Notamacropus eugenii: one gene and its partners. The main gene of each other region encodes a partner of the protein of the gene in region 3 in a complex. Links are inferred from orthologs where the notes say so. Each region holds a gene or a part of one and is shown on either strand. Other genes may lie near its edges.

Region 1 (8,170 bases), on a different chromosome or scaffold from region 3:
CCTAATACCATAAGGCATAAATATAAATCTACATTTTGTAGATATAGGAGCAGAGGAAAAGAAGCAATAATACAAAAGGTGTGTGAACAATATTGAAATCTGATTGCATCCAGAGGACCTCCACCTCATACTCTTCTCTACCCTACCTGTCCAATAAGATGCTACATCTCGTCAATCGCCTTGGCTGACTAAGCCGACCAAAACCGTTCCGCTGAGGCTCATTTAGAATGTGGTCAGGACACTTACCCTTATATTGTTATTACCAGCTTCAGAGGCTGCTGTAATGATAAAATGAGATAATGTGCATCAAGCACTTTGTAAATTTCAACATGTTTGCTATTTATTATCTGGTATGTGAAGTGTGACAAACTGACAAAGTGTGACAAACACAAAAGTCCAAGTGTCTGTTAGACACTTAAAAAATCAGAGGAAGCCTTAAGATAGGGAGCCACCTTTCATTCTGAACACAACCAATCAAGAAGTATTTATTAAATGCCTACTGTATGCCAGGCATTGAAGATATAAAAACAAAAATGAGACAAGCTCTGTCCTCAAGGAGTTTACATACTATTATATTCATTGTATTGGATGATGTAAACAAATATGAACTGCTTTTCCTGAAAAGACCAATGTACAAAAAAACCCCACTAACTATACTTTACATGAGAATATCAAGCTTTTTTCTTTCTTTCTTAAAAAGTGAAATATTTTTTAAAATTAAATTATTTTGTTTTCAGTGTTCTACAATCACTTCCATATGTCTTAGATTTTTCTTCCCCTCCCTCCCTGAGATGGCATACAATTTTATATAGGTTCTACACATACATTCCTATTAAATACATTTTCACCTTAGTCATATTGCAGAGGGGAATTAAAATGAATGGGAGAAATCATAAAACAAAACAAAACATAATATAAAATGGTCTGCTTCATTCTGCGATCGAATTCCATAGTTCTTTCCCTGGATGTGGAAGGCATTTTGCCTCAAGAGTCCATTGGGAATTTTTTAATTCCTTGCATTGCAATGAAGTACTAAGTCTACCAGAAAAATTCCTCGCACACTGTGGTTGTTGCTGTGTACAAAGTTCTCCTGGTTCTGCTCCTTTCACTCAGCATCAGTTCATATAAGTCTTTCCAGGCCTCTCTGAAGTCTTCCTGTTCATCATTTCTTATACCACAATAGGGGAACATCAAGCTTTAAATCAATCACATTATCTGCCTTCACAAAAAACAGTATTCTAGATAGAACACATTACTACCTCCTATTTTACAGATAAGGCTCAAAGATGATTTAACACAGAGCAGCCTCAAGGTCACATATGGCCTTCTAGGTCCCTGCGTGCAGCCTTTTGACTGAGTTCAAGTTTTCTAGAACAAATCCTTTTAGTAAGGGGATTTGTTCTGTGAAGTTTGGATTTAAAGTGCCTCAACCTAAGGACCTAGAAAGTCACATATGGCTTGAAGTTGCATGTTCCCCACCCCTGACTAGACCCCTCTTACCTTTCCAATCTGCTTATACTTTACTCCATGGGAGACACTGGCATAGGACCACCGAGCAAAGCATGCCCAAATCAAAGAAGATACTATATTCTATGAGCAAGGAATTTCAGAAGCTCAAAAAAAAATGTGAAATGCACAAATTTAGGGATATCTCCACTCCAAACGTTCATATGGACTGGAATATTTGTGTCTAACCTGTGGTAGCTCCCAAGCTCCTACTGGTCTAATCAGCCACAGTCCCACACACTGTGTCTTGACCCTCACGTAGTGATATCACTTTGGTCCACTGAAAGCAGAAAGGACAGCTATATCTACCTCCCTACACAAACTTTTTGATCCATTGCCATTAACTCCTGGCTATTCCATGAAAAAGTCACTGCAGCTCTTGGCTGCAGGCATTTTCTCTGACTGCCGTCCATGCTTGAAACACTTTCCCTCCTCCAGTCCAACTACTGACCTCCCTGATTTCAATTTTCATATAAAATCCCACCTTCTGCAGAAAGCCTACCCTTAATTCTAGTGCCTTCCCTCTATTATCTATTTATCCTGTATATAGTTTGCTTTGCATTTATATGCTGTCACCTTCATTGGATTATAAACTCTTCAGGGGCAGGAACTGTCTTTTGCCTCTTTCTGCATCCCTAAGTCTTAGTCCAGTGCCTTTTGGCGAGTAGACACTTAATGAATGCTTACTGATTGATTGGAACATAGCAAGCACTTAATAAATGCTTCTTCACCGACTAGACAGGAGATCATGGGCAAATCATTTCCCTCCACTAGGCCTGCTTCTCCACCTATAAAATAAAAGGGTTGGGGAAGGAGTACGGCAGTGGAAAGGGCATTAGATTTGTAATTAGAGGAACTGCCTCTTGCTTGCTGTGTGATCAGGAACCTCGGCCTCAGACTTTTCACTTGTACAATGAGGTGCTTAGCCTAGACCTCCCGGGTCTCTTTCAGCCCTAGGACCCCATGCCTAGACTGCTCTAAAGCAGCTTCCAGACTTAATTTCTGTGCCTCCTGGGAAGCACAGTTCATACTTCAGACAGCAGCTGCCTGGCCTTTGCACCCAGGGGTCTGGAGGGAGGAGAGAAGGGATGGCAGAGTCGCTGGAAACCGTGAACCCCGCTGTGCTCCAGAGCCTTTCTCTGTAGCGGAGAGAAGGCAAAGCAGCCCTCAGGGAGCACAGGGAGCAGGGGCTTCCAGGCAGCCGGACTCCGTAATAGAATGGGGTGGCGGATGGGAGGGCAGAGGCCTGGCTGACGAGATGAAGCGTACTGGGGCGGCGGGAGCTCTTCTGGGGGGCTCTGCTGGGCACCCAGCCAAGCCTAGGGTGGGGACGACGCTGAACGCGACCCCACCCAGGCACGGGCGGCCTGCAGAGGGGGGATTGTGGGGCGTGACCCCGGGCTGGACGGGGAGGTCTGAGCGCGGGCGGGCGCAGGGCCGGGGGCGGTGGAACACCTCAGGAGCGCTATTTCCGGTGGGGCGCAAGGCCGGCACGGCCCTGGGGCAGCCCGGGATGGAGGGCGGGCCGCCGGGGGCTTCCTTACCTGGCCCTGGAGCCGCGGCCGCTGCCGCCGTAGCCGGCTCGGAGAAGGAGCAGGAACGAGGCGGGAGGGAGCCGCCGCTTCCTGATTGGCGGAAGGAGCCTTACCCAGCAGCCTCCGCGCGGCACTCTCCGCCAAATTAACTTTATTGGTAGAGGGCGCTCAGGGACAAGAACACGCGCGGTGGGGAGCCGCGCCTGGCGTGCCAAGCCTGGGCTAACGGGCCACGAGCCGCAGGTCCTCACGTGAAGACCGAGCGACCAGTTGGTTGTGGAGGGAATTCCTCTTCAGGGACGGGTTGGCCCAGATAGCCCCTCCTAACTCTTGGGAATCGGCGTCCCGGGCTTTATGCCTGTCGATACAACCCAAGATTCCATTGAGCTTTCTGGCTGTCATGCCCTGCTGTTGACCTGAGCTTGCAGTCCACCCGGGCCCCTAGATCTTCTACTATTGCCCAGCCAAGCCTCCACATCTTGTATCTGTGTTAATGAACAATAATGATAATAATGTCCCCTAACAGCCAGCCTTTACATGGCATTTCAAGGTTTGCAAAGAGCCTTGACAGCCTTACCTCCTTGTATCTTTATGATAGTTCAGTAAACATTTATTCAGGGCCTACCATGTGCCCCGTGCTGGGCTAAGCTCTGGAGGTGCAAAAAGAGGCTAGTGACGGTGCCTGCTGTCCTGAGCTTCCCTGGGATGGGGCAGCTGACATGCAGGCAGATGCAGGGCAAGCAGCCTGGCAGATAGGTAAGAAATGATTAACAGGAGGCAGGCGCTGGAATTAAGTGAATAATCCTAGTCTACCAGGAAGGCACCGTGGTTATCCCCACTTACAGAATTTACAGGAAATTGAGACAGAAAGGCATGAAGTGGCTGGCTCAGGGTCCTGCAGTGAAGGTCTGGGGAGGAGCTTCAGCTCAGTCTTCCTGACCACAAGTTCAGCTCCCTGCGTGCTGCACCTGGTGAAGTGCATTTAAAACAGCTTTGAATGTCTGGTGTTTTACATTAATTGTTACAGTGTTTCAAATGATTAGACTCAGCCTACCATTCCGGGCTATCAAGACCCATCCTTTTGGATCCTGTCGTCAAATGTGTTAGCCATCCCTCCTAAGTTTGTGTCCTCTGCAAATATGATACACATGGGATTTGTGGTTATTATGGCAACTAGGTAAAGCAGTGGATAGAGCCCCGGGACTGGAGTCATGAACACCTGTGTTCAAATTTGGACTCAGTCACTTATTAGCCTGTGATCCTAGGCAAATCATTTAACCTCTTTCTGCCTGTTTTTTCAACTGCAAGATTGGAAGCACCTACCTTCCAAAGTTCTTATGAAGATCAAATTAAATAATATTTGTAAAACTCTTAGCACAGTACCTGGCACATAATAGGCTCTTCATATATTCATGTTTCCTTTCTTTCCTATGCATTTTTTCAAGTAATTGATAGAAATGTTGAGGAATACAGACAGTCTTTGGCAGTCCATTAGAAAGCTCTCTCTAAGTAAATATCAACCCATTAATGATTATTTTTTGAGTTCAGTCATTCACCTACTTCTAAATCCCTAACATAATTAGCATCTAGCCCAAGGGTGGGGAACCTGCAGCCTCAAGGCCACATGTGGCCTTCTAGGTCCTCTGGTGCAGCTTTTTGACTGAATCCAAGTTTTACAGAACAAACCATTTTATTAAGGAGATTTGTTCTATGAAGTTTGGATTCAGTCTAAAGGTCTCACTTGTGTACCTCGAAGGCCACATGAGGCCTTAAGGCTGCAGGTTCCCCAGCCTTGATCTAGCCCTTATCTTTCTTTTACAAAGAGAAGGTGGGAGTGTTTGTTAAAAATTTTGTGAAATTTAGATAAACTATGTCTATAGCATTTCCCTGAATTTAGAGGAACAGAGCAGAGCCTGTACCAACAAGGCTTTTCCTCACTATGAGTGAGATAATCCAAATAGAAACCTCTGTTTGTCTTAAAGTAAGGACACACCTATAATGAATGAATAAAAAAAATTAAAGATTGGCTTTAGGGAAAAATATGGTGATAATAAAGTTAATATAATAATATATTATTACTACATATTATATATAATATAATGTACAATGTAGAATGCAGAATGTGTTCGTCTTTCCTTGCTGAAGAAGACCATGCCATCAGAGAAAAAATGACATGACTTGCCCTTGACTTTGTTTTGAGTGAGGGAGGGCTGTGCAGGTCACCAGCCTCACTTCTCCAGAGCCATCTGAATCCAGTGACCAGATTTTCATCAGGATGACTGGAGATGACTCAGGATGAGGCAATTGGGGTTAAGTGACTTGCCCAAAGTCACACAGCTGGTGAGTGTCAAGTGTCTGAGGTGAGATTTGAATTCAGATCTTCCTAATTCCTGCACTGGTGCTCCATCCACTGTACCACCTAGCTACCCCCATATATATTTATATATATGTATAATTATTATATTATATTATAAATAATATAACAATAATATAAAATAATAATAATAATAAAGATCCAGGCTATGAATGACACTTGTTTCTTGGTGTCTCATTTAGTTAAGAAAACAGTTAAACATCCTTAATATCCCAGGGCCTTTTAGCTATATAACCCATGAAATAAAATCAGGGTTTCTAGGACCCCTGGTGGGGCTTCTTAACACACTCTTCCTATTACCAGGCAAATTAGGTTCAATCTTGAGGAATTTCTCTCTATTAAAAATTAATATGCCTTTGGCTTGTCTCACCAAGAGGTCTCTCTACGGACATCTGAAATTGGGTCTCCACTTGCTATGGTCAGATCTTCCTTTCCCAGCACCTACTTTCACCCTCCCCACCCACAAAGAACCTTTTGATAAACATATGAATACGAATAGTTTCTTACAAAACGTGGAAAACAGAAACAGGATTCATTTCGGAGTCTGGATAGGAAGGAAACATGTCTATTTTTCCTCTTTGAAAAGATTGGTTTGTAACCACAGAAGCAAAACTCACAACATCATAGGGGAAATTCTAGTTGTATGGGAAGAGCTGGGAACCTTGGGAATGCAACAATTGTGTTTCTTCTTGTGGCCTACTTGGAATCTTGGCTGTGTTCCTCATTTCCTCTGGCATCCATGCTTCCAACATACACCTATCTCAGACGCCAGTCCTGCCCTTGCCTTTCTGTACAGCACAGATTGTTGTGGGGCCCATGCTGTTTCTGGCTCAACTGTTCTTTGTCACTAGGTTGAGTAATATATCTCCTTGTCCAATCAGTTCTATGATACTAATCTTCCCTGTATCCCCTAAAGTCCCCTTCCAGACTTTCTTCTTTCCAGCAAACCTTGTAACCCAGGCATTATGGGAAATATCCATTTATATCTACATATACCTCCCATACATATCCAGAAAAAAGGCTAGTCTTCTTCCAAAGTTTTGTATAAAAAAGGTATTTAACTTAGTTTCATTTCTGTTTCTTTCCTACTCTCTTCTGCCCTCAAACTTGACTAGATGTTATGACAATGAGCTTTGCAAAATATAAAATACCAAATAATTGTAAAATATGGCAATCTTTGTTTTTTGTAATCTGTAGTCCAGAATCCATACCTCTGGGCTCAAAGAGACTGAGATCAATCTTGGAAGCTTTTCAGTAATTTTTTGATTCATGTGCCCACCCAGGGAAACCTTCAGACCATGTGGATCCAATTCATTTCTACCTCACTTTTAGGGACACTCAATTCTCCTCCAAGGACGCAGGCTAGCCAGGTATAGAACACAGAACAAGTTAATTGCCACAATGACAAATGCATTTAGAATTCATACTCAAGCCAGTCTAGAAAAGTTTGTTCTATGCAGAGTTCTACTTTCCCACCTTCCCCACAAATTCTATAACATTATTGTGATATAGAGCCCCAACAAAATAATTTAGGTAGCTAATAGTCACACACACACACACACACACACACATACACACACACACACACATACAAACACACACGCACCATCCTCCACCTGGCACCTTACAGTACTTATGACTCACAATACCAGTGGAAGGAAAGGTCCAGATTTGCTTATTCCTGGTGTAGCTCTCGCAATTTGGTTCTGGTCTCTCCTCCAGTTCTTGATTCTGAGGTTCCTGCTTAACCCTTGAACTCTTCAATATTCACTCTATTACTGCTACCTCCAGCTCCACACGGTAATGCTCAGTGTCACTCCCATCTCTTAGTCCTATTAAACACTTCAAGGTCGGTTGCCATTCTGCTTCCACCTGTCATCCACTCCTCTCTATCTCTTCCCAGGAAAGTGTTAAAGCTCTCCCAGAATGAGATTCTTGAGTCCTTTGGGTTATAGGAGTACTTTCCATTTTTTTCTTTTAGTAAGACATACAATCTTTATCAAGCTTACATATGAAAGGTCCCCTCAGGTGACTGTCAAGACCTATTGACTCTTGTATCTCAATCATTTGTCTCTGCTTACATTCTAATATGGAAAGATGAGGCCTGCGTTTCCTCTGAACACTATCTTATCAGGGTTCATAGGAGGAGTCTAATTAAACAGAAAGTCTTGAAATGATTCTGTTATGTCCTGATTATCTTAAAAGAAAAATGGAAAAGTAGGGGGAAATGATACTAGGATGAGGAAAGGAAAGGAAGATTAGGTGGAAATTATCTCACATATTTGGTCTACACAAACAAGGAAGAAAGCAGCTGGCACTGAACCTCACTCTCACTTAAACTAGTCAAAGAAAGGAAGAAATATGTACAGTTGAGAATAGAAATACATTTCACCCAGCAGAGAAATAGGAAGAAAAGGGGAGAAGGGAGAAGGAGGAATTAGAAAGAGGGTAGATTAAGGGAGGGATTAGTTCAAAGCAAAGCAAACTCTAAGAATATCCAAAAATATTTATAATTCTTTTATTTGAGGTGGTGAAAAGTGAAAGTCTAAGGGAGTATCTATCAATTGGGGAATGTGCGATGGAACATTATTGTCCTGTAAGATATGATGAAGAGGATGATTTCTAAGAAATCTGAGGAGATTTATATGAACTGATGTAGAGTGAAAAGTACCAAAAGAAAAATTCCTACCACGACAACAATATTATAAAGACAAACAACTTTGAAAGACTTGGGAACTCTGATCAGCATAGCAAT
Region 2 (7,355 bases), on a different chromosome or scaffold from region 3:
CTTCTTTGTCAGAGAACAGGGAAAAGAGGCAGAAGATGCCATCCAGGGGTTCTGAGGGGAAGAAAATGACCCTTTGGCAAAGGAAGAGGCAAGGTCCTCAGCAGAGAGCGTGGAAGGGGGGTGGGGGTGGGGGAGAGAGAAGCAAAGGTTCAGAAACTTGCAGAGTGAGAAGGGGAATCAACTAAGGAGCAATAAAAGGGTTAACTATGAGGACGGCCCAGTTAAAGGGGGATAACACAAATATGTTGAGTCCATATGACAGAGGTCATACAATGAGGAAAAGTATGAAATGAGCAAACAGTTCAGGATTAAATTCTGATTTCTCAGAACACAGTACCTGACACGAATTTTTAAGGAGTAAAACAACCTTCTCATACTTACTATTTTGAGTCTGCTGGGTACTGAAGGTTCCAAATCCTAGCCCGGTTCCCAAACCAGTACTGGTTCCTGCAGTTGTGCCAAAACCAGTAGAACCAAATCCAAAACCTTTGTTCTGAGTAGCACCAAAGAGTCCTTTGAAGAAAAAATCGGGTTTACAAAAGTGTCACCAAAGACGCAATTGCCCAACTAGCCCGAATCAAGGCTGTTTAGTTCTATCGTTAACTCTGTCCAGTCTGGGCTCTTACCACTTGTGCCGGTGTTAGTAGGAGCAGAAAAGCTGAATGCAGAACCTGCCGTGGTGGTGGTCGTCCCAAATCCTCCAAACGTGCCTAGTGATCACAAGAAAGAACATGGAGACACTATGGTTAGGAGTGTGCTCTTGCTGTTAAATAGCGGCCCTATTCTTAGCCTGGGGTCTGTAAGCTATTTTATAAAAATGTTCTGACATCAACATTCCAGTACATTGTTTTATAAAAGAATCTCATGTATATTGTGTGTACATATTATAGACATGCATGTATGAACATTAAAAAGATCTTTTAAAAAAAATCCTGACAGTATTTTAGATGCTGACAATTTAACAAACATCTCATATGTGGCCAAATTCTCACTTGTTTTGGTTCCAACACTTAAAATTCAGCAAGATACACTAGGCTGAAGACCTCCATTTCAATATGCAAAGTTCAAGAATATACTTTGAAATTTCGAGTAAAAAAGTATTTCTAAAGGTATAATTAAAGGGCTCAGTAGGGCACAATTTATCATCAATGGAGGATTTACTTCACGTACTTACCACAGCATAAAAGAAGCTGAACAGTTAATTTAGTTTATATTTGTCAATGGTAAAAAAAAAAATAGCGAAGTATTGTACAAATATGATAGTGATGTAAGTGATTTGATAACACATGGACTGTGATCAATAAAAATGGAAATGCCAGTGTTTTTAGATAAACAATGAATCATTTTATAAAATAGACCATAATTAACACTGTCATTTATTTTTGCCGAGTTGTAGCTCTATTCAGAAGCACAAATCACACACAAAACTCCATTTTCCTCTACTGTTAACATGTAAAACGGTATTACAGCATTAGACTGTAAGCCCCCTGAGAGCAGCCTGTTCATCTTTGAATCCCCAGCACCCGAACAGTGCCTTCAACCAGTACACATGCTTAACCAATACTTGTTGGAAGGAATTAAAAAGAACGCAAGTACTTTGTAATTTAATAAAACAGCACAGGAAGAATACAACGCATGACTTCTGTGTCCCAGGAAATTTTCTGTCATTTTTCATGTTAAATTTTTTGCTCAAAGTTAGGCACAGGATGGCCTGAACACGTGGGGCTCGTACAACGTGGGATTCGCAAAATAATTTAAAGAATTATCCAAAAATTAGCTGTAAGCAGCAAACACATTTCTGAAGGCAACTTCTTAAATTGGCAGAGGGCACGAAGCTGCCGATCACGCCAGGTAAGAGCACGGAACACTCAGTTTATGTCCAAGCAGCCGAACGCCTGGCAGGTACACACACACCTGTGCGCGCCCTTCTGCCAGTTAGACCCACAACTGCCCATCACGCGGCCCGGCGGCTGCTCTCAGAACCCGGTGTCTGGGTCTAACCCAATCCCTCCTGACGGGCTCAGACACGGAGGGAAGGGGCTGTTTTGTGCGATTTGCGGCTTCTGAGGACAGCACGCGGATGACAAGGGAGGATGGATGGACGGACGGACGGACGATGACACATGGCCGCAGGAGTCCAAGAATGGGGGGGCGGGCTCCGGGGGCTGGCTCGATGACAAGCCCACAGCGGGGACGGGGGTTCGGGGTTCCCCCCGGGACCACCGGGCCCAATCCGGCGGGGAGAGGGGCGGCCTGCAGGCACCCCTGCTGGGTGGGGGGAGGGGCGGCCCGAGGGCACCCCTGCTGGGCGGGGGGAGGGGCAGCGCATTTTTGGAGTCCTGCTAGGCCATCCACGAGGTGACGGGGGGCTCTCTACCTGCGCTGGCCAGAGGGTTACCAAAACTGAAGGGGGCCGCGGCGCTGGTGGAAACGCCGAAATTCCCAATATTAAAGTTCACCGCAGGATTGGCAGCTAAGCCGAAACCCCCAAAATTAAACCCACTGTTGGTGGAGCTGGCGGCGTCCAGCCCACCAAATCCTGACGGGCGGGGAAGGGGAGGGGGAGAGGGAGAGAGAGAGAGAGAGAGAAAAGAAAGCACGTAAGCATCGCAGAGTCCGGTCCGACGGGCAGCTCCCCGAGGGCAGGCCCCGGCTCCCCACTGCAGAGCACCGCGGGGGGGCGGGGCGCCGGCCCAAACAAGCGGGAGTCCCCCCTCCCCTTCTCCCCCAGGACGTCGGGCGCCGGGCGGGGGGGACCCTGAATCTCTTCGCTGAAGACCCCCGCCCGGCTGGCCCTCGAGGGTCCCCTCCCCGCCCTCAGCTGGGGGCGCACCCACGCGGGGCCGGGCAGGCCTGGGCGGCCCTCGGGAGGGGTCCCCGGCGGATCTCCCCAGCCCGCCCCGCCCCCGCTCTGCACACTCACCCGCGGGAGCGGCGGGGGTGGCGGCCGTGGCCGTGCCGCCCGCGGGAGCCCCGAAGTTGAAGGCCATGGCGCCGCCGGGGCCGCGGCGGCTCTCACGGGGCGCTCGGTGCAACCAGTGGAAGGGTCCGGCCGAGCAGCGGCAACCCGAAGCCTGAGGGTTCCCGGAGCGGCAGGTGGCGGCGGGGGGGGCGGGGCCTCGGAGGAAGCCCGCGTCGCGTCTGTGACGTCACCGAGAAGTATTACGCGAGGCGCGGCGCGGGGAGAGTGCGCATGCGCACGGTGAATCCTTCAGCCGGCCCGGGCAAATCCTGGAAACTGGTACCTTCCTCCTCCCGCCCCCCCAGGGTCTCCGCGGGGATCTTTGGGGGTTTGTCCCTGCCTTTTGTTCTCCCGTCCTCCTTCCCGAAGGTTTCCTTCTCTGCCCTCGTGCGAACAAAGAATGCGAAAGAGACAAAGAGGAAAGAGGGGGAAAGCGCGCCCCAGAGCCCTCCCCTCCCCCGCGGATTGGGATCAGCTTGTGATTGGGTCTTAGAGACCTTTATGGAAGCTCTTCCCCTCCCCATGCAGGGGCGGGGCTCATCGGACGCCCGATTTCGGCGGTGGAGAGGGGGCGGGGCGCTCCCGGTGCCGGGGTGCTGGGGTGCCCCCTGCTTGGGCCCCGGCTCGAAACCAACGCCCGTTCTCTCCCCCATCCAGCTCGCCGTGCCTGGGTCATCGGGTCACGTGCCTGACCTGGCGCCTACGTCTGTGTGTCCTAGGCTCGGACGTGGGCCTGCTCCCTTACGTCATCTCGTCTAACCGGGCACTGATGGGGGCAGTCCTGACCGTTTGTGGGCGGTTCAGGTCTAAAGCCCCGCCTCCATGGAGCCCGCCCTTCGCTCGTTCCCGATGAACTCTGGGTAAAGTAGCTGCGCAGGAGATACCAGAAGTGCCTGTTCCTTTAAGAAGTAGCCCCTCCTTAGCCACGCCCTAAGCCCGCCCTGGTCCCAGGGCTGGGCACGTGCTTCCCTGTAGAGCATCCTAGAGAAACTTTACCTGGACCCCTAGAGTTGCAGGTTTGCTGAGATCTTTCCCAAGCGGTTGTTTGCATTTGTTCCTGGAGGCAGTAGGGAGGTGACATGATCAGACCTGAATTTTAGGAAAATCTCTCCAGGGGCTCGAGGATGGACTGAGGTGGGCAGAAGCAGCCAGCAGCTATTGCTGCTGCTGGATAACTCTCCTTTCATGAATTCGTTTACTGGAGAATTCTGAGAGCTGTGATGGTTTTCTGGGTCCCCAGCATGTGGTGGGAAGGAGCCAGGTTCGTGAGTGGCTATCTCCCCCCATAAGAAGAATCAGGGAAGCAACTTTTGATCAGAACCCATTATGCCCCTAGGCCAGAAATATTTTCCAGGTATCAGATGAATATCATTTTAATCTATATGTTCAAAGACGTTTCTTTCTGAAAGAGCATTCAGCCTTGGCTTCACTCCTGAGGACTGCTTACCTCTTCTGTCTTTCCCTGCCCCTTGTCCCCCAGCTAGAGTGCTGGTGGTAGAGATATAGCCTTAGCTCTTCTCCAAGAGACAGGCTAGACCTCAGATCGTATCACATAAATATTACCCTTTTAAAAACCCTCTATACTAGGTGCCTCCACTTTTTCTCTCACTTCTTAATGCACTGCAATATAGCTTCCATTCTCTTCATGCAACTGAAAAGTTAACAAAGATCTTTAACAAGGGCTCTTGACAAAGTTAACAAAGATGTCTTAACTGGCACAAATTTCCACTTTACAGACCCTACTAGAGCGTTTGACAGTTCTCCTTGGAGCCCTTTCCTTTCTAGGTTTTCCTGACCCTTTTCTTTCCTGGTTCTCATCCTACCTTTCTGACCACTGCTCAGTTTTGTTTACTGGTTTTTTATTTGTATCATCCCCCCCTAAATTATTGGAGGCAGCTAGGTGGCACAGCGGATAGAACACTGGTCCTGGAAGATCTGAGATCAAATCTAGCATCTGACACTTACTAGCTGTGTGACCCTGGGCAAGTCATTTAATCTCTGTTTGCCTCAGTTTCCTCAACTGTAAAATGGGGACAATAGCATTAATAACTGTACCTCACAGGGTTGTTGTGAGGATCTAATGAGATAATATTTCTGTAGTACTATAGATACCCAGCCTGGTACATAGTAGGTATAATAAATACTTATTACCTTTCCCTTCCCTGTAATATCTGTACTCTAAGCTCTAAGAGTACAAGGACTGTCTTTTGCCTAAACTCTGTATATATCTGAGACTGCCTACCATAGTTCTCAGCAAACAGGAGATAATTAGAAATTGTTTAGCGAATGAATGAAGTGATGCTACATTATGAGGTTGCGAGGATTTAAAAAACAATCTATGATTTTGGTTGTCAGATCCAATGAGTAGGCCACAGATTTTTCCCAAATGTTTTCACACTGAAAACGCCCAAACAAACTTTTGGACACAAGGAAACCCAAGGAAGAACAAATACGTTCCCCATTCTTTCCTTTCAACTTTTCTCTGATTCCTTTGGAGTTTCTGGGATTAACTACCATTAGAACAAATAGTCAAAACCTAGTCATGGGTGCCATCAAAAACTTCTAGATTCAGTTTTGTAAAAATGATAACTTTATTAGTGAAACATTTTATTTTTAAAGTAGAAACAAGCATTCTTAGAATCACATTAAATGAGTCCATTGTAAAAACTAAATGTGTAGTATTCTGAATATCTTCTTCAATAGCAAGAAAGGAAGAGTAGTTAAAAAGTGGGGGGAGAGTTATGACAGGCCAAAGTTGAAGATCCCCTTCTGTTATAAAGAGCAAATCTCAATAACCAGCTTAATTTTTAAAATCAACCATATTTTCAAATAAAAGCCCCAGCAGTGGCTAACTATTTTATTTGGCTTTTTAATGGTTTTTCCTTTCAAGGACAAGAAAAGTCAAGTGGCAGCAACCAACCACAGCAGTCAGTCAGTCTATAAAATGTAGTAAGCACGTATTATGTGTCAGAAACTGTGCTAAGCTCTGGAGCTGCAAAGCCAAGAGATTTGGGTTCTATTGACTAGTCCTCCAGCTACAAAATGAGTTGAATAACACTGGCCATTTAATTCCCTGTGATGTTGACAAGACTAAGGTTTGTAAAGACTTTGACCTATGATTTGTTTCATTGATATAGGTAACCCCCTCTACCAGTGCAAACCATTCTGCAGTTTAGAGGCCTGCTTGGGACCCTGAGCGATTAAGGACCTTCCCAGGGTGATATAGCCATTATGTGTTAGAGGCAGAAGGGAAACACAGTTTTTGCTGATGCCAGGGTTTAAGGCCACTCTCTCATGAGTTACCAATGAGTAGCATGTATTCTTAATTGGCTTCAATTGTTTAGGGGTCAACCACAGATTGTTCTGTAAAGGGAGATGCTCTCAATGTATTTGCTTCATTTGATTTCAGGTCTTGTAAAAAAAAACAAAACAAAAAAACAATGAGATGTCTCATAAATGAGCAAAGAAATTGAAGATGGCGTCTCTTCCACCTCCAAATTAACAGGGGCACATCACAAAATGTGACCTCATTACATTTGTAAATGCAAAATCTTGGTTGTAAAATCTTAAAGAGGTAAATGATGAGTAATGGAGAGAGAGCCTAGTGAGAGACCCATCTAAGCCAAGTCATCCAGAAGGCATTTGAAGATGAAACTAATTGGGCTTGGCTGGATCTTGCAGGTTTCCTGTAAGTCTGTTTTCTTCTCTACTGATTCTACCTCTTTTAAGAGATGATACTGCTCACCACCTCCCAGAGTGAGCTGTGTCTGAGGAGGACACATTGAGCTGAACAAAATGACACCTTTCAAAGGTTCTCCATCAAAAGGCCTAAAGTTCTTGAAAGCTGTAACAGAGATGATCTTGTTTAATAGTTTTCTGAATATTAATATCAAGAAAAGAATGAAAGAGGGATATATACTCTTATCAGATGTGTCAGTTCTGAACCTGGGCAATCTCAAAGAAGACAGATTCCCTGTAGAGACAGAGGTTCTCTAAATACCCTTGACATGGTGTTGATTACAAACCTGCAAAGGAGTGACCCGAGTCACTTTAGGATGGTCCAACTTTACTATGCACAGAATTAAAAACAAGTGGTTGAAAAATAGCTACAGTCAGAGGGTCAGCTCATAAAGTATATATTTCTCAGACGAAAGTTGGAGATGGATCTTGTATTCGTCCTTCATTTTTGAAGAAGACCATGACATCAGAAAAATGATGACATGATTTGCACTTGACTTTGTTTTGAGTGAGGGAGGTCTGTTCAGGTCACCTCACTTTCCCCTCCTGAGCCATCTGGCTCCAGTGACCAACTATTCATCAGGATGACTGGAGATGACAGTCCCCTAAATCCTGTTCAGGTGCTCACTTAGAATGAGGTGATGCCCATTCAGTG
Region 3 (7,323 bases):
GTGGGAGACCTTGACCTTTTTAAGCTAAGATCTTTCCCAGGTCTGTTTAACTAAGGCAACACCCATTCAGTGATTAAGGCTAGGTAAGAAATGAGGCAAAGAATGGCCTCTTTCATGTAATCAAAAAAAAAAAAATCTATCTTGGGAGGGGAAGACCCTGAGGTTTTCTGGCCAAAACAGAAACAATTACTATTTACATTCACTCTGAGACAATCAGGGTCCAAACAATAACCAAGTGGGGCTTGGCCTGGGACCTATTCCTTGACAATCAATGAGAGCCAGAGTGAATTACGTTTAAGGCATTGTCCTTAAGCAAGAATTCTAGCCCTTAAATCCCAAGATATCTTGCTAGGTTTCAACCATCAAAATTTACATACTTTGGGCAAAGCACTAGCATATAAGGATATGATAACCCTAAGTGGACAGAGGGAAGGGAAAAAGGAAGGGAAAGGTTTAGGGAAGAGTAGAGGGAAAGCAAGGTGTGGAGGGAATTCTGGTTTTTATAATAATCAATATATGTGTAATGAATACACCAATAGATTTGATTTTGCAGAATTACCTTTTCTAGCTTGTGGGTCATTCACAATGCAGTTTGAACTCATAAATCAAACCTTGACAAGACTCAATCACTGGCATCCTTCTGCCTTCAGACCAAGCCTGTAGAACCTGTGACCCACTAAGTAATGACCCCCTGTAGCGTGGGTGAGATACCTACAGCAGGATATGCATATGCAGGTGTATTTTGAGGGTAAATTCGCAAAATATAAACTCTCTTCCTCAAAGATGAAACAAAGATAATTTATTCAGATACCAGAAAGCCAATTCCACCATAGTAACAATGAACTTTATACACATTACCAATAGAGAGCACAGCCATCCCCAAGCATTCCCTTGGTCAGGCCTCCCCACAAACAAGGCCCCTTAGGCAAAATGCCCCTCTCCCACCTAGGCTAGCTGCTCTGCTCTGACTGTTGTTGCCTCTCAGCTCCACCTTCCTCTCTTCCTGCTGTATCCTTCTTGCTCCACCCATTCAGCAAGCTCCTTCCACCATCAGCTCTATGAGACTCAAATTGTGGACTGGGCCAAAGCTCAAAGCAGGTCACATGGGCCTATTAAGGGGCAGGGAAGATTTTCAAATTCCCTTACCATTACACTCCCAAGACTTGGGCAGTGTTGCTCTTATAGGACTCCAAAATTGTGGGTTTATCCTGGGAAACTACTCTGGCCCTGGGAATGACTGTAATCCACCTTCTACTCTTCTACTCTTCCATCCCATTGGTGTTTTATGTATAGAATTTCTGTCATCACTTCAGCAAGGTGGAATTCTGATCAGGAGAATTCCTGATTTGCAAATCTACTCCTCATAATGAAACTAATTAATTAAATGGCTACCTGATTACTTGCACTTTGTCTCTAGTCTGCAGTTGCATCATTCTCAGATTAAAAAATGACTCAGTAAAATCCTGCTAACAAGGGAAAGGATGAAAGAAGGAAGGAGTTGCATTGTCCAACTGGAACCGGCCAGTTGGATCCCCAGTGAAGCAGCTTGGACTACTCACAAGTCACTGTTTATCCTTCATTCTCAAAGAGAACCATGACATCAGGAAGATGATGCTAGGACATGCAAATGAACTGGATTTAAGGGCTGTGCAAGGTCACCAGTCTCACTTTCTCCTCTGGAGCCATCTAGCCAGTGGCAAGATATAATCAAAATGACTGGAGATAGCCCTGAGGCTGGATGGGATAGTACAACAAAGGAAGTAATGTATAATCAGAGTGGACTGGTAGGTTGGGGTCAGGTTGTGAAGGACTTTAAAAAACCAAACAGAAGAGTTTATATTTTATCCTACTTACAATAGGGACCACTTAAGTTTATTGAGTAAGGGAATTACATCATTAGCTCTGCACTTAAGGATGATCAGTGGCATCTGAGGGAAAGAGGAACTGGATGGGTAAAGACTTGAAGCAGGGATAGCAATAAGGCAGTTTTTGCAATTGTTTAGCTGAGTAGTGATGAGGGCTGTTGACCTGAAAACTTGGTTAAAGAAAGGCAGCAGGCTAAATGCATACATTTTATGATTTAATTAATTAATTAATCAATTCCCTATTAAAGAAAACAGTTACATAATGCATTATGGAGCCAGAAATGTTCTGGCTACCCAGTGCAGAAATCTTCTGGCTTATATACATTTTGCCGTGAGAAAGGAACTCTCCTAGTTGAACAAATCATAAATTTAGTAAGACAAGACAATTAACAAAGTAATGTCAATCAAATGTTGAGATTCCAAGCTGGGTAAACATATGTCTTGGTGACAAGGAAGGAAATCCCACCCCAGATAACTGACACAGGAAGGGGCAAACAATGTTCAATAGAAATTATGACCTAAGATGTCTATATTTTCTTTACCATTAATATGCCATAACATAGTATGTGTCTATAGATAATAAGATACAAAGGAAAGACCCATTATTCAAGATATGTCATAGGTTAAAGGTCTCCAAGGAATGCAGAGTCAGCTTTGGCTGGCTTTTGCTGACATAGGAAGAGGCATTCTCTGAGTTTGCTTCAGAGAGAACAAAGAGATTATTCCAAAATTTTATATTAAACATTATCAGGGCCTAGACTAAGGTGGTGATTAAGAGTAGAGAGAAAAGGTTAGATGTGAGAAAAATGTTATAAAGGTAGAAATGGAAAGATCAAGCAACTCAATGGATATATGGGATGTGGGAGAGTGAGAAGCATTTCAACAGAAACAGTGAAGTTTGGAAGAAAGGTTGGTTTGGGGGAAAAGAGAATGACTACTATTTGGCACTAGAATTTAAGATGCCTACAAGATGCCTACATTTAAGATGCCTATCCAAGTTCAAAATGTCTAACAGGTAGTTGGTGATGTGGGACTAGAGATCCAGAGACTGCCTAGGGCTAGAACAGGGAGTTATCTGCATGGATGTTAAGGCCACTTGAGGAGCAAGAAGCTCCCTTTTCAATGGCTGTCCTCCAGGCAAGTAATGCTCTTCTACTTGATGTCCTCTATTAACTTATAAGCTTTTTTCTAGTCCCGGCTGAAATCCCATTTTCTTCAGAATGGCTTTCCTCTCTTAATTATCTCCAATTTATCTTGTATGTATCTGTTGCATATATAGTTGTATATATAACGTATATGTATGTGTATATATACATACATACACATACATGTATGTGTATGTATGCATGCATATATACATTTATATGTGTGTGTATATATATATATATATATATATATATATATATATATATATATATATATGTATATGGTTGTCTCCTCTATTAGACTGTGAGCACCAATAAAGCAGAGAATTTAATTGGTTTTGCCTTTCTTTGTATTCCCTGCACTTAGCAAGTGCTTAATCAATGAGAATTTTTTTTCTGGCCGTCCCCCAGGCATGGAACTCTCTCCTTCCTCCCCTCCCCCAATGGCCTCCTTGGCCATTAAAAGCTCCTCTTTTGCTGGAAGTCCTCCCCAGCCCTTCTTAATTCTAGCCACTCCCTTCTGGTATTTCCCATTCCTAGGCTTTGGATTAAGGGTTATGGAGCACCTTTCATTTTAGAACTGTCAAAAGGAGGATTCAGAAGGGCCAGATCCATAACGGAGGCCAGGCTTTCTATCCTAGCGAGTTTTTAAATTACCATTACCTCGCTCCTCAAAATCTTGGTAATTGTGCAAAAGTTCACTTACAGCCATTTTGACTCACTTTGTCCCCTCCTTTTTTTGTTTTAATAGGGACTGAAGTGGGCAACACCCACTAATTTATGACTTTGCCTCTTTTACTATCCCTGGCCGTAACACAACGTCTGGCACAGTGGGCGCTTAATCTTGATCGATGATTGATTGATTGGACCGCTCTGGGTCACAGCTTCCTCATCCGTAAAATGAGGTTTGAGTCAATGACACATAAAGTCCCTTCTTGTCTCTAAACCTGTGGTCCAACATTCTACCTGGGGCCCCGATGCCACATGTGCCCACGAAATCAATCACATTAAGGCGAAGGACAGGGCACTCATCGGAAGGGTGGCTCCGGACCGGCCCCTGTCCCTTTAAGACGCGCGCTGCTGACGTCGCCCGGCTTCCATCCCATGGTGCACCGCGGTGGCTCGGCCGGCTCCCGCGCGGCGGCGTGCGCGGGCCCAGGGGTTGCGGCCGCTCGCTCGCTCCTCTTTCCCGCCCCCTGGTTTGGACCGAAGTTCCCGCCCGTCCGCTAGCCCGGCCGGCCACTGTAGGGGGGATGCTGCGGGTTCCCCTTCGGCGCTGAGACGAGACACGAGGCCCAGGCCGCGGCTGGCCGGCTTCAACCATGTCCACGGGCTTCTCCTTCGGGACGGGGACGCTGGGCTCCGTGGGTACCGCCACGGGGGGCACCGGGACCACAGGAGGAGGGTTCTCCTTCGGGACGGGCACCTCCAGGTAAGCTATCTCCTCCCCGCCGCAGCCGCGCGCCCCTCGGCCCCGGCCCAGCTCGAACGCGGGAGCGTCTCGCGGGCCGGCCTCCCCACCTCCTCGGCCTGACGTCCGGCTCCTTTCTCGCCCCTCCTCCCAGGGCGGAGCCGGCGCCGCCCCTCCTTCCCCTCCCCCCTCGGAGGAGCCGCACTGTCCCCGCAGGGTTCCGCATCACCCAGGGGAGCTTCGCTCTTCTTCCTCGGCGGTCTTCACCTTGGGCTCTGGCGGCGCAGTGTGAGACCTCTGCGGGCTGCCGAGGGCTTGCGGGCGTGGAGGCCTAGGGATGGGGGCGAGGGGACTGAGCGCCGGATTAGAACGGCGGCTCTTTGTGTTTGCTTTTCTTTGTGAGCCCAGCGTTTGGGTAACACTTAGCCCGGTGCCCGGCCCGGAGAGAGCGCTTCTTCATCGTGGGCAGCGCCGGGGATACCGAGAAAGGGCAAAAAGTGGTCCCCAGAGACAGGTTCTTGGTGGTTCCAGGGGCTAGGGCCAGGATGCGTAGCCTTTTTTGTGCCCTTGGGCAGACTGGGGAAAGCTGTCGATTTCTTCTCAGAATGGTTTTACATGTGTAAAGTAAAATACACAGGAATGAATTTTTTCCACTCTCCAAGTTCACTTACACTTTGAAATCTGTCCTCAGATCCCAGGTGAAAAGCCTCTTCACTAGCAGATTGGATAGGGATTTGAATCCAGACTCTTTGGTTCTATATCAGATTCTGAAATTCTTAATATTAATGAAACTATTCTCTTAGTGGGTTTCATCGATGACTTCCAGGGCCCAGGAGCTTAGACTTCTTATTTGTACGGTGATCTTTCTAATTTGATAGATGTGTATAGAGAACTTCAAGCTTTGGAATTTTGAATACTTGAGTCCCAAGACCTACTGCTGACAGAGACTGGCGTTTTGACAAGTCACTTAACATCTCAGTGCCCTAGGCAGCTCTCCAGGAGTTTAAATTGAAGGGTAGGGTCTGAGTTTCCTATACCAATGAAATCATAGGTCCAGTCCCTACCCCTATATTAGGTGTAAGACAAAAAATAAAAAGGTATTATAATAATGACAATAGTTATCATTTATGCAGCATCTACTTTGGGCCAGTCACTATACTAAGGACCTTACAATTATTGCTTCATTTGATCCCCACAACAACCTTGGGAGGTAGGGCTGTTATTATTATCATTTGCATTTTACGGGCAAATAGAGGCTAAATAACTTGCACAGAATCCTCAGGGCTAGATTTGAACTCAGGTGTTCCTGACTCCAGGCTCACTGCTTTATTCACTGCTCCACTCTAGCTGCCTCCCATGAATAAATTGTTTAATATTTATCATTCATATTTTGCATGGCATAATGTTAATTTTACAGCATTTGGTATTTGTGATCCTTCTTTGTTTTTTGATGTTGTTTATAATATGTCACCACTGTATTCACACTTAGCTCAAACCTTAGACTTTGGAGTCATCTTTCACTCCCTGTCCAATCCATGATTTCCTGCTTCCCCACCACCAGATCCCATGCCATACCTTGTATATGCTTCTTGTATATCACTTATATTCTGCTTTATATTACATTTTAGACATGATTCAGGATCAATTTATATGTTGTAAGGCCTTGTCTAAACCAGTTGATCTACTATATTACATTTATTTGTTTAGGTGTCTTAATATGCCCTGTGAGATTATAGTTAGTTCCTTGGGGCCAGAGACTTAATACAACTTCTTCCATGAAGCCATGAGGTCTTATCTGATCTACCAGCTAGAAGTAGCTCCTTCATTTCCAGCTTCCTTTCTCTCTGATCTTTACTATGTATAGAGATTTCATAGAATACTAGAGCAGGAAGGGAGCTTAGTGATCTTCTAGTCTATTCTCATCCCTCTCCATAAAAAAACAGGCTCATTGAGGTTAAGTGACTCTCCCAAAGAGGTCACATAACCAGCAAGTACAGAACAGGTTTCCACATGCTTAGGCTAGTGCTGTATCCATTTGGTCTCTTTATTACATTCTAACCTGTTTTAGAGTTATCCTCCACGATCAGAATCTTAAGAGGGCATAGATTCATTTTTTTTCTTCCTTGTATCTCCAGCATTTACTGCCATTACTATTCTACATTTTGTTGCTCCTTGTTTTCAGTCAGATCTGACTCTTTGTGACCCTATATGGAGTTTTCTTGGCAAAGATACTGGAGTGGTTTGCCATTTACTTCTCTAGTTCATTTTACAAATGAAGAAACTGAGGCCAACAAGGTTAGGTAACTTTCCCAGGGCCACACAGCTAATAAGTGTATGAGGCCAGATTTCAGCTTGGGAAGATGAGTTTTCCTGACTTCAAATAGAACTCTGAATGCCTAGGTGTCCTTTTCTACTATATTCTGCAGAGCAAGTGCATAATACGTGTTCTTGAATTATCCCCTTTTGTTTTCTCCATAATGATTTGCCCATAGATATTCACTGAATAGATTTTGGTTGAATAAATACTAGAATTTTACCCAAGTTTAGACTGGAATTATTTACATTGTCTTTAGAATGCAAAATGTAAATTATTGGTTTAGCACCTATATTGAGACCACAACTAGACCTATGATTTCACTGGTATAAAGAACTGTCAGATGAAGAAATACGTACCAATGTAGGTCAACATTTTCTTTGCAACTTACGGCCTTGAGAGAGTTACCTGGAGCAGGGCTTCTTAAATTTTTTCCACTCAAGACCCCTTCAGTGCTTCTTAAAGCGCATGATATGGGACCACAGTTTAAGAAACACTGGCCTAGAGCATTGAGAGGCCAAATGATTTATCAAAGGTCACACAGCCAGAGGCAGCATATAAACTCAGGTCTTCCTCTCCAATTACATC

The links.
Region 1: NUP58 (region 3) and NUP93 share a complex: the UniProt entries of both Homo sapiens proteins name them as parts of the p62 complex. The link is inferred for Notamacropus eugenii from reciprocal best matches to the Homo sapiens genes NUP58 and NUP93.
Region 2: the proteins of NUP58 (region 3) and NUP54 are in contact, whole or in part, in a crystal structure (PDB 4JO7), measured with the Homo sapiens proteins. The link is inferred for Notamacropus eugenii from reciprocal best matches to the Homo sapiens genes NUP58 and NUP54. Residues at the interface, in NP_054808.1 of Homo sapiens: Pro342, Tyr345, Phe346, Leu349, Val350, Phe353, Gln356, Leu357, Tyr360, Gln363, Ile364, Leu367, Leu371, Gln374, Ser378, Ile392, Tyr393, Phe396, Leu399, Ala400, Leu403, Ile406, His407, Val410, Lys414, Tyr417, Tyr420, Arg421; in NP_059122.2 of Homo sapiens: Tyr453, Leu459, Glu462, His466, Leu467, Gln469, Gln470, Gln471, Gly473, Leu474, His476, Leu477, Ile478, Ile480, Ile481, Asp484, Leu485, Ile488, Lys489, Leu490, Val491.

What each region holds. Positions count from the first base shown.
Region 1 is NC_092872.1:474,257,435-474,265,604, reverse strand, and holds the start of NUP93 (nuclear pore complex protein Nup93), read right to left. Parts: upstream 3,155-8,170; 5' UTR 3,051-3,154; intron 1-3,050. UniProt on the Homo sapiens protein: Plays a role in the nuclear pore complex (NPC) assembly and/or maintenance. May anchor nucleoporins, but not NUP153 and TPR, to the NPC. During renal development, regulates podocyte migration and proliferation through SMAD4 signaling.
Region 2 is NC_092878.1:151,162,667-151,170,021, reverse strand, and holds the start of NUP54 (nucleoporin p54), read right to left. Parts: upstream 3,088-7,355; 5' UTR 2,991-3,087; coding exon 2,924-2,990; intron 2,540-2,923; coding exon 2,378-2,539; intron 1,931-2,377; exon of another isoform or gene 1,676-1,930; coding exon of another isoform or gene 1,597-1,675; intron 711-1,596; coding exon 627-710; intron 514-626; coding exon 382-513; intron 1-381. UniProt on the Homo sapiens protein: Component of the nuclear pore complex, a complex required for the trafficking across the nuclear membrane.
Region 3 is NC_092876.1:192,733,793-192,741,115, forward strand, and holds the start of NUP58 (nucleoporin p58/p45), read left to right. Parts: upstream 1-4,092; 5' UTR 4,093-4,332; coding exon 4,333-4,442; intron 4,443-7,323. UniProt on the Homo sapiens protein: Component of the nuclear pore complex, a complex required for the trafficking across the nuclear membrane.